Caenorhabditis elegans: one gene and its partners. The protein of the gene in region 3 purifies or fractionates together with the protein of the main gene of each other region. This does not show direct contact. Each region holds a gene or a part of one and is shown on either strand. Other genes may lie near its edges. The genes, in order: ttr-5, lbp-4 and R06C1.4.

Region 1 (2,907 bases), on a different chromosome or scaffold from region 3:
AATATTATATTTCAAAGTATTTAGATGCGTTTTTCCATTCTCTCACAATTCTATGCTTTAAATAACGTCAATATTTATAACTTTAAAAAAGAAAAAAGAAGACACAATAAAAAAGAATGCGTGTTGGCCAGTTTGTGCATTCCGACGTGGTGGTGTTTGCGGACATTACACCAAGTGACGGTACGAAAATTGTTGGCCGTAGTAGATTACTGTCGATATTAAAAAAATTCAATTCAATATCCAGCACAAATTGGTGGTATTTATAAAATTTACAACGATAATCTTCTAGGAATGATTTTAAATATTTCAATGAGTTTTTTAAAATTCGAAATCACGGATAAAATGTGTTTTCGAGGATTGCAGTATCCCCTGTGATTCTTGCACTATAGGGAAAATATCTATATTTATTGCATTCCTGAATATTCCAGTTATACTTTATTTTTATAGAAAATAGGATCGAAATGTTTTCTCTGAAAAATTTGAAGTTGCAATCCAAAATTGTTATTTTAAAAAGATTTATTTCAAGAAAAAAGAGTATATATAAGTTGGTAAGTTTAGTGAAGACAGTCACGTCCTTCTCCTGGGAAAGATCCAGCAAGTTGAATGACTCCGGCATCGTAAATATTACGGACAGTCTGAAAATATTAATTTCAGTTTACTTCCAGTTTTTTTAATCTTCTTACCTTTCCCTTGTTGATGTAGCTATCTGGGATCTTGATAGTGAACTTGCGTTGGCAGGGCTGAAAATTCAATTATCTTAAAATGTAATAAAGTCATCCAGAAACCTTAATTCCATCATTGCAGTCATGGTAAATGTTAAGTTTTGGGTCGATTGGAGTCACTTCATCTTCGTGTCCAGAAATTTCAAAATCTCCGTTGCCATTGGTCTTTCCAGAAGCCATCAAATCATCGGCATCGATTCCTAGAAATAGACTTTTAGGAAATATTCAAAAAAGTTTTTGATTACCTCTATCATCATCATACAACTTGACCAAAACTCCAACAGCTGGTTTTCCATTGCAGATCAGTTTTCCACGTACTCCAGCCGATTGGGTATTTCCAATTAAAGCATAGCTTGAGGCAACAAGGCACAAAAGGATTATAAGCTTCATTCTGAAATTCTTTTGTTGAGAACAAAATGATAAAGTAAAAAAGGCCGGGATGGAAGAATGGAACCAACAAAGAACCAATAGCTATGCTCTCAGAAAACAACATGTTTACGAAATCTCAGGAAAAGATAAGAAAAAGAAGATAATTCGGAAAAAAAGAGAGATTTGTTGTTATATATCTTTTTGATAAAAAAAAAGCTTGACAGAAAAGTGTGGTTGTAGTCCACAAATTGTATTAGTTTCCATGGAAAATAAGTAGATTTAATCAATTTATATACACCTGTACGAGAAAATATACTAAGAGATGATCTGATTATTTGTTACCTCAAAGTATATCATTTTCAAAACAAATGGTGTATCAGACAATTGTAAACAAGTCAAACACCAACTAATTCATTAAAAAACATAAAAAACAAAAGTGACCTTTCAATTAGAATCAAACAAGTAGTCATACCTGGGAAACTCTAGCCAGGAAAACGTATCCGAAACTGTATGAAAAAAAATACAAAGAGAACAAACTCAATAAGATATGCCAAAGGTTGATGTCAACATTATGACCAAAACCTAAAAACAAACATCCGGCAAAGAGAAAGGTCAGAATAGGCATGTACGAAGGTAAATGGTTAACATGCAGGCTCTTAGGTAGACAGACCCACGATCATCATATTTCCCAACTAACATTCTTATTTACATGCCTGTTGCATGCCTTCCTTACGCCTGAAAGTGTTTAATTGAAGAATGTATTACTCAAAACACCTGCTTTCCTTTAACCTTCGATATAATTTTTGTTTAGTATATTTGTTTCTTTTCAACATTTCATTATTCTCCTTTCCATAGTAACACACCCAACAAAAAAAATGTAAAGAAAAGGGAATTATAGATTAGCTCCAAGCATCGTCCTTCTTTCCAAACTTTCTTCAAAATATTTTTTTACAACTATTATTCTTCCCCCAATGTCGTCATCTAGGAACTTTGATCTGGAGTACGACGATTACAAAGAACGACGGAATGCTGCTGGAATGGGAAGTCGTGCGAGCTCGAGGAATGGTGGAAGATTCAAGCCAATAGACAAAGAAAAAGAAAAAGAGAAGAAAGAGATTGGAGATTATGGATTGTAAGTACTTTTTTGATTTCTGGATTCATTGTCAGAAGTCAGTTGTATTAATAGCTTTCAAAATCCTAGACATCGTGCAGTTTTTCATGATCCGTTACCTCACTAGATACCTTGCAGACCCAAAAATGAGTATAAAATGCAAGGCTACGACGAACGGAGCTCAGATGTTGGAGCCGATCCATTGGCATCAGTCCGAACTCTCCGTAACAATCTCCGAGTCATGTCCCTTGAGCATCGTGACAAGGACGAACCTGTCAAATCACATTTGTGCCAATCAGCTTGTGATGATCTATCAAAAGCCGAGAAACAACTTGTCGATTTGAGTCACAAGAGAAGCGACGCAGTTGTCAGAGGAGACTCACGGCAGGCTGAACAGATAGCAAAGGATATGGATAGAGTGAAGTCTGATGCAATCAGAAATGCATATTCAGATTTAATGATGGAAGATGGAACTATGAAAGCATTTGGAGTCAATTCAAAATGGACACCTGATAAGAATCCAATGCCATCAGATGATTGGAAGCCAATGACACCTATGAAACCTAGGAAAAGAGCTGAAACACCAAAAGGAAGAAAAACTGAAAGTAGGCAAAGTAACAGAGGAAATAATGATAATGGAGATCAAAGAATGACGTCAAAGGCAACCACAAGATCCCCAGAACGGAGAGTTATTCCAACGGAACC
Region 2 (3,378 bases), on a different chromosome or scaffold from region 3:
TTTTCATAATTTTTCACTCATCATATGATGATATTATTATATTTCAGTATTTGATAAGTAAATAAATAACTATTTTATCGAAAAACTATTAAAAATCGATGAAAATTCCGTAGCAACAAGTTCGAAATTACAGTACTCTTCGAAGGCGCACATCTTTTTGGATTTAACAAAAATATTTCGTGCCTAGACCGGGTACCGTATTCTAGCTTTTTAAAAAAATTTAAATTCGCAATATTTTCGTCAAGGACGTTTTTCTGCGAACTTTTGCCGTGATTAATTATTTCAAAAACAGATAATGTTCTGATTTTGATTATTTTCTATATTTTTTGTTCAATTTCGTTTTTCAAGTGTAATCAGAATTGTGTTCCGAGTGTAACCACAGTTGACCGGGTCAACACAAAAAGTGCGCGCATCTCACATCGTAAAGCCTGTCTGGCGATCGGAGACGGCTGGCACTTTGCCAGAAAAGTTGATCCGTTTGTTGCGGTAAACATTCAAGAACACGCCACATTCAATTTCAATGACATCATTTCTGAACATCTGCTTTTTAAAGTGTTGAGTGCAAAACCACAGAAGGAACAGCTGAAACTTTTCATCAAAAACTTAAACAATTATGCAAACCCTCAATGTAAAATTAACAAAAAAGGCACAGCAATAAATAATCACAATAATATAAATAAGGTTTAACTATTAACAGAGAAGCATCAAATCAACATTCAGATCACTTCTGCTCGACTCTCTTGAACCAACGGCGACAGACGATTCCATTATTCTCCATTCTCATCACCAGTTGATTTTGATCGTCGATAGTGTAGAAATAAGTCTCTGCGCTGGTTTCTGGTTCATTCAGGCGAATATGATGCTCCGAAAGGATTTCATCTTTGAAGTCGAAAGTGATCTGAAATTGGAAATTGTTTTAATTAATTATTTAAATAATTTTCGTTCTCACCTCATGTTGATTTCCATCCAATCCAGGAGCTTCGAATTTTTTTCCAAGTTCCCATGCCTGATAGTTGGTGTTCTTTTTTGAAGTTAGATTTTCCATGTTGTACCTGGAATAGGCAAGATGAACTGAATGTTTTCGTGGTCTCTAGACGAAAACATGAAAAATTTATGACAAAGATTTCCTCCACCACTTGGAAATGCCAAAGAAGCATGTGACATATTTATTTTAAAAATTTCACGTATTTCCAATTTTAGAGTTGACAGTTGTAAATTCTAAAAATTAAAAATTTCGTTAAAAAAGTTTTTCACCAGATAAAAAGTTATGGTTATTTTCAGTTAAAAAAAATTATTAATTGAACTCACTTCCCAGCTTCTTGATTTTGTGAGATAATTTTAGTGAGTCCAGCCAACTTGATCATTTGCCGTACGAACCAGTTGACACCTTTCGAGGAGAGAAATTCATCAAAATTCTCGCTTTTATCGAGCTGATAACGGCCAAAGAACTTGTCTGGCACTGACATTTTCCTTTTCTGAAAACTTTTTTAATGATGCAAATTAAATAAACGGGGAAAAAATTGAAATAAATGAAAGAACGAATTAAATTGAACGGTAACAATAATTAGGTGTCGGTGGAGCGCGATTGCGTCTGTATTAAGTCACCACAGACTAATGGAAAATAGATTCCGAGGAAACATATTTGTGAAAATTTTATAAGTGAAAATAAAGTTCAGGTCAATTTTGAAATGGAACTAACGATTTTAGAAAAGAAAAATCGCCATTTCCCTTTCTTAAGTCAACTGTTCTGTATTTTTCTTAATTTAGCGTTCGTGCCAAGACCATAAAATGCGACCCATTTAAACTATTATTAGTAGAAGATGAAAATAAACTGCAAAATAAAAAATATACTTGCAAATGAACTAGATAATGAAAAGTTCAGCTGAAATTCCAGATTTATATTCCCAAAAAAATCTCCATTTCCACATGCCACATTCGTTTCATGTCTTATTTATTCACGAGTATGCGTTTTTGTTTTCCTGTGGGCACTCAATAAACACGGAAAATCAACGAAAAACAGAGGTATAATCGAAGTTGACACGTAGGAGCTCGCTTGGCACCTCGCCAAATATTCTCTCCGTTTTTCCGTCATTCATTTGCTTATTTTGGCGCCTTTTTTCCTACTTTCCGCTTCTATTTGCCCATTTTTCAGCTGCAAAAATTAAGATGGGATGAATGTTATGAGGCGAGAGCCATAGAAAAGCCGCCTTTAGTGCAAACACACATACATACTTTAATCAGATTGGTCAGACTTTTCGAAATGATCAAATGCCGAAAAAGCAGAGACGCAGATAGGCGGGGCGGAGCTATTCACAACTTTTCGGGTTTTCTTTTTCTTTGAGCTCCCTCATTTCAGGAAGATGAAAAGAGCATCTCTTGTGTTTGAAGATTTTATGTTTTGCTGCCTTGTTTTATTTTAAAGATCACGCGAACTCAAAATAATTTGTGCGAACGCTGTGTTGCAAAAATATTTACGAAAATCGCTATTGTTGAGCAATAATATAAATATCGTATTTCCTCTATTAGTATTGCACTCTACTACTCAACTTTGAAACGTTATAACTCAATTCTTTCAAAAGATGTAGTATATATTATTAACTACGAAATGACAGAAAAAGATCTAACAAATATTTTGTTAGTTGACAATTTTTGAATAGAACAAACAATAACTGATATTTAAGTTGTCAAAGTTGAACAATGGGATGCAATACAAATAGAGGAAATACGATATTTAAACTAGTAACTTTGTTTTTTAAATAAAATTTTAAATAATCGAGAAAGTTTGCTCTAATTCCCGCGCTGCCCTAACAAAATGGAAAGATTCATAGAATATATAATTCCACTCACTGATCTTCTTCCCTACTTCACAGAAGCTAGTTAGTAAAGCATGAAGATATCAAATTTCATTTCCATAACAAGTTTTTCGAGAAGCAAGCGAAGACTGCATAAACTTTTAGTTTTGTAGTCGTTATGTTTTATGACGTGTATTGCCACGTGATTTCTTTTCAGTTTAAAACTGTATTGCTCCTTTTATGTTCGGATAGAATTTTTAGTACCAAGGCGTAGCCTAGAAGAAAAAAAAAGAAAATTCGGCCACCCTAAAAATTCTCAAAAATGAGTTTTTTTCTCCGTTTTCCCAATGCTGAAAAAAGTAATTGTTTCCAAAATCCCTTTTCAGACTTTTCATAAGGCTTAATTTCTTCAGAATTTCAGTACTTTTGAAAAAACCAAGTACGGTTAATTAGAAAATTAACAAAAGTTCTTACTTTAAGAGACTGTCGAGGTTTCTCATTTCCAATAATTTCTCCTTGTAAAAAATTGTATACTTCCTGATTTGGTAATTGAAATATTCAATATTATAACAAATTTCCTACGTTC
Region 3 (3,589 bases):
GTGTCGACAAACACCTCAAGTCAGAGCACGGATAAGCCTATGGTCTCTCTCGTAAAGTAGTGGAGTACTCCCGCGGATCCCGAGATGTAATCAGAAAAGTACGAACGAAATCTCTGTGTATGCACGTAGGCTCGTAGGCAAGCACAATCAAGGAAATATTTATCTGAAAAGCTTGAAAAGGCTCTCAAAGTGATGCAAAGCCAGAACAGAGTAAAAGTATGCATCATTATTTAAATTCATGAGTTTTCAGATGGGATCTGTGGAGTCAGGCTGTCTCATTGCGGTTTGATCTACAAAAAATGCGGGAATTTTCTCCCCAGGAAAGTGTGACGTCAGTTGAAAAGTCTGCGTCTCTTTTCCCTCATTTTTCGAAGATCAAACCAAAATGGGACACTTTGACACCACGTGTCAGTTTCTTTGAAGTCAATTTTCTTTATAATACTTTGCTCATGGTGCAACGATCTTTTTTTAGGTCTAAAAGCCGAAGCCTGAGCCCCAGCCTATGCTTAAGCCTAAGCCTAAGCCTAAGACTGAGCCGTAAACCTGCACTCTGTGAAAAAATGCTCGAAGTTTTCAGTTTTCAAAAAGATTTATTATTTAAGTGTAGATGGTGAAAAACATGCACGAAGATAGAATTTTTGGTGGAATGTATATCACAAGTGCAATCTCTTTGAGTCACTCGGCGGCGTTGTCAGTTTACTTGTTGGCGTAGTTGACACGAAGGTTGCGTCCATTGAAGGCAACTCCGTTAAGTTGTTCGACGGCTCTTTGAGCTCCGGCTTCCTCGGAGAACTCGACGAATGCGAAACCGCGTGGGCGTCCGGTTTCACGATCGTACACGATTCTGGAAGACATTGATTAGTTTTGACAAGGTTTTAATCGAAAGTTTCCGAGTTTCTGAGTTTCTGAGTTCTCTTACCTGACGTTGTTAACATGTCCGACGGCGGCGAAGTAGTTTCCGATCTCCTCCTCAGTTCCTTGGTATGGAACGTTTCCAACTAGAAAAAAATCGATTAGCAAAACGGGGGTAATAGTAGGTTTTGGCCTATATATAGAAAGTTACAAACTCTCACAATGCACTGTTACAGAGCAAATGCACCCTATCCTAGTCCTAGACTACGGAGACCATGACAGTGCGAAAAGTCTCTTCACCCATACTTTTTGTGGTCGAACGGCGTCTCCATTTCCAGAATTGTGTGGCGATCCGTGTGGGGTCCCGGGTACTCAGTTAGTAGACTCAGTTATACTTATACACGTGGAAGGGGACTACCTGAAATATCGGGATTTGTTGTCAAGGAACACGAATGAACCATAGAGAACGAAGGCCGATCGGAAAACGCTAACAATTATCAGAAATCGATACTTTCTGCAAGTCGAAGAAAAGTTCATCGAAGAAAAGTGTGAGAAAGTTTCAGAAGTTTTGAGAATTTTGTATCATATTCAAAATTTGTACAAATTTAAATTTAATTTTCACCACCGATTTATTACTATACTTACCGTAGACGGAGAATCCTTGGGAAGCCATGATAGATTTTTTTTTGAAGAAAAACGAGTGTGTTTCCGCGTGGAAGACAGACTAAAAATGTTCGATCGAATTTGGCAGTCCTAAAAAGATTGAGGCCAAACGCGCGGCGGGTCTCGCAGCGAACGTGCCGCACTACGGTCGATTTTGTGTAGGTTTACGGGAGGGATATTTTGGAGAAGAAATCGGCAATTGTTGGGAAAGTGAAATGCTTATTACGTAACAAATTTGACGCGAAATATACCTCGTAGCGAAAACTACAGTAATTCTTTAAATGACTACTGTACGGGCTCGGTATTCGAAATGAATTTTAGCTTCTGTGACACAACCAAGTTGGCGAAAATTGAGAATTTAGCTATATTTTGTTATTTTTCTCAGAATTAGAACAATTTCATTGATAAATAAAAAGGACCATCTCTCCGAAACCTCGCCATTTCACGATATTTTGAATATTTTGAACAGTAAATATTGAAATTTCAATCTCATTCTATTTTCGCATTTTCCTGTATCGATTTTTTGTTTTGTATATCATTTTTTAGACCGAAAAAAATTAATATTTAAATAAATATAAAACATTTCCGGAAATGAAAATATTTCCGATGAATCACAGCGAGACACTGTATGTATTCGAGAGAGTGCAGACGCTCGCTTGCGCACTTCTCGTGAGTGTTTGCTGACGCATCCCGGGTGCACCTTGGCGCATTTCTGGATTAATGATATTTTAATTGAAAAACATGAGATTTTATTGGTTTTTCCTCGTTTTTTGCAGTTTTTCCGATGAAAAAAAACATTTTCTGACAGAAATAATAATTTTGAAGCTGAAAAACTATGTATTTTATGATATTTCGTTGGAAAATTAGGTTTTATAAGTTTTTCAGTGAATTTGTGGGTTTAGCATGTAAATGAAGCAATTTTATATGTTTTCTAGCGATTTTTCCCGGTAAAGTTACCAATTTCAGCATAATTTTATTAAAAAAGTGGCTTTTCTGTTTAAAAAACTCAATTTTATAATTTTTCCAGTGCATTTTCGTGTTTACCATTAACATTAGAGTTTTTCGTGGAATTTTCCAACTAATTTCATTGATTTTGGCTGCTCGCTTTTATGAAGTTTCCAGTGAATTTTTATGTTTAACTAATTTTTTTCACGATTTTCGTGCCAATTTCCATTAAATCCATGGATTTTTACATATTATTCAGGGAAGAAAGTGATTTTTTTTCGATTTCAAGTCATCTTCTGTGAATTCTAACGCTTTCTCGCAATTTCCACCCACATAATCCCGCAATTTCTGCACATTTTCAGCAATGCCTCTAACAAAACGGGCGGTATCACCGGTAAACCTCAGCAGAGGCACAATTCCATCAACAATCCATCGTGATGAGCTTCAATGTACTGCTAATGGGACAATCGCCAATTTAGTACGACAATTGAGCTCGTTGAGGTGGGAAATTAGGTCGGAAAACTGGAATTTTATCGATTTTTTTTTGCAGTAAGCACGCTGAGAACATCTTCGGAGAGATTTATCACGACGCAATGATAATAAATCACAAATCGAACACTCTTCAACAGAGAATTGATAGATTGCACAAGAAAGTTGAAGATTTGGATTCAAATTCCGATCAAGCAACGTTGAATGAAGCGAATATGCGAAAAGCATTCAAAAGTTCAATGCTTGTAGATCAACATATTCTGGATAGAAGCACTTTACCTACAGCATTGACTGAAATATATGCAAAATGTGATCCACCGCCGGATCTTGATGCTCTAAATCCGTATAGAGACTCTGAAATCCCTGCGCTCTCTCTCTACACAAATCCCTCGTTTTTCTTCGATTTATGGAAAAAGGAGACACTAAAAGAGGTTGCCGAACGGCCCAGACGGGTAAAAAGCCCGAACGACGGGAGTAAAAGCCCGAAAAAGCGGCGGAAGCAGCCTGGACAAGGCCCTCTCGGCACGACGGCCTATAATGATATGCAGCATAGGAATCGACAGATTAGTGGATCACGGATTAATCAGCAGAATGAAGTTTTCTCGTTCCCGGAGGAATATCAGGCTCCGCAGGCTCTCGG

What was found.
Region 1: the proteins of R06C1.4 (region 3) and ttr-5 fractionate together in Caenorhabditis elegans (co-fractionation; one large-scale study listed by BioGRID). This does not show direct contact.
Region 2: the proteins of R06C1.4 (region 3) and lbp-4 fractionate together in Caenorhabditis elegans (co-fractionation; one large-scale study listed by BioGRID). This does not show direct contact.

The regions. Positions count from the first base shown.
Region 1 is NC_003281.10:9,328,522-9,331,428, reverse strand, and holds ttr-5 (Transthyretin-like protein 5), read right to left. Parts: upstream 1,114-2,907; 5' UTR 1,113-1,113; coding exon 968-1,112; intron 923-967; coding exon 786-922; intron 741-785; coding exon 684-740; intron 636-683; coding exon 555-635; 3' UTR 501-554; downstream 1-500. Other genes in the region: cepr-104.1 (CEntrosomal Protein Related), read left to right, coding at 2,063-2,223, 2,341-2,907.
Region 2 is NC_003283.11:7,818,675-7,822,052, reverse strand, and holds lbp-4 (Fatty acid-binding protein homolog 4), read right to left. Parts: upstream 1,476-3,378; 5' UTR 1,467-1,475; coding exon 1,309-1,466; intron 1,053-1,308; coding exon 950-1,052; intron 899-949; coding exon 722-898; 3' UTR 576-721; downstream 1-575.
Region 3 is NC_003279.8:11,928,743-11,932,331, reverse strand, and holds R06C1.4 (RRM domain-containing protein), read right to left. Parts: upstream 1,568-3,589; 5' UTR 1,526-1,567; coding exon 1,498-1,525; intron 999-1,497; coding exon 920-998; intron 845-919; coding exon 697-844; 3' UTR 575-696; downstream 1-574. Other genes in the region: wve-1 (Wiskott-Aldrich syndrome protein family member), read left to right, coding at 2,825-2,961, 3,011-3,589.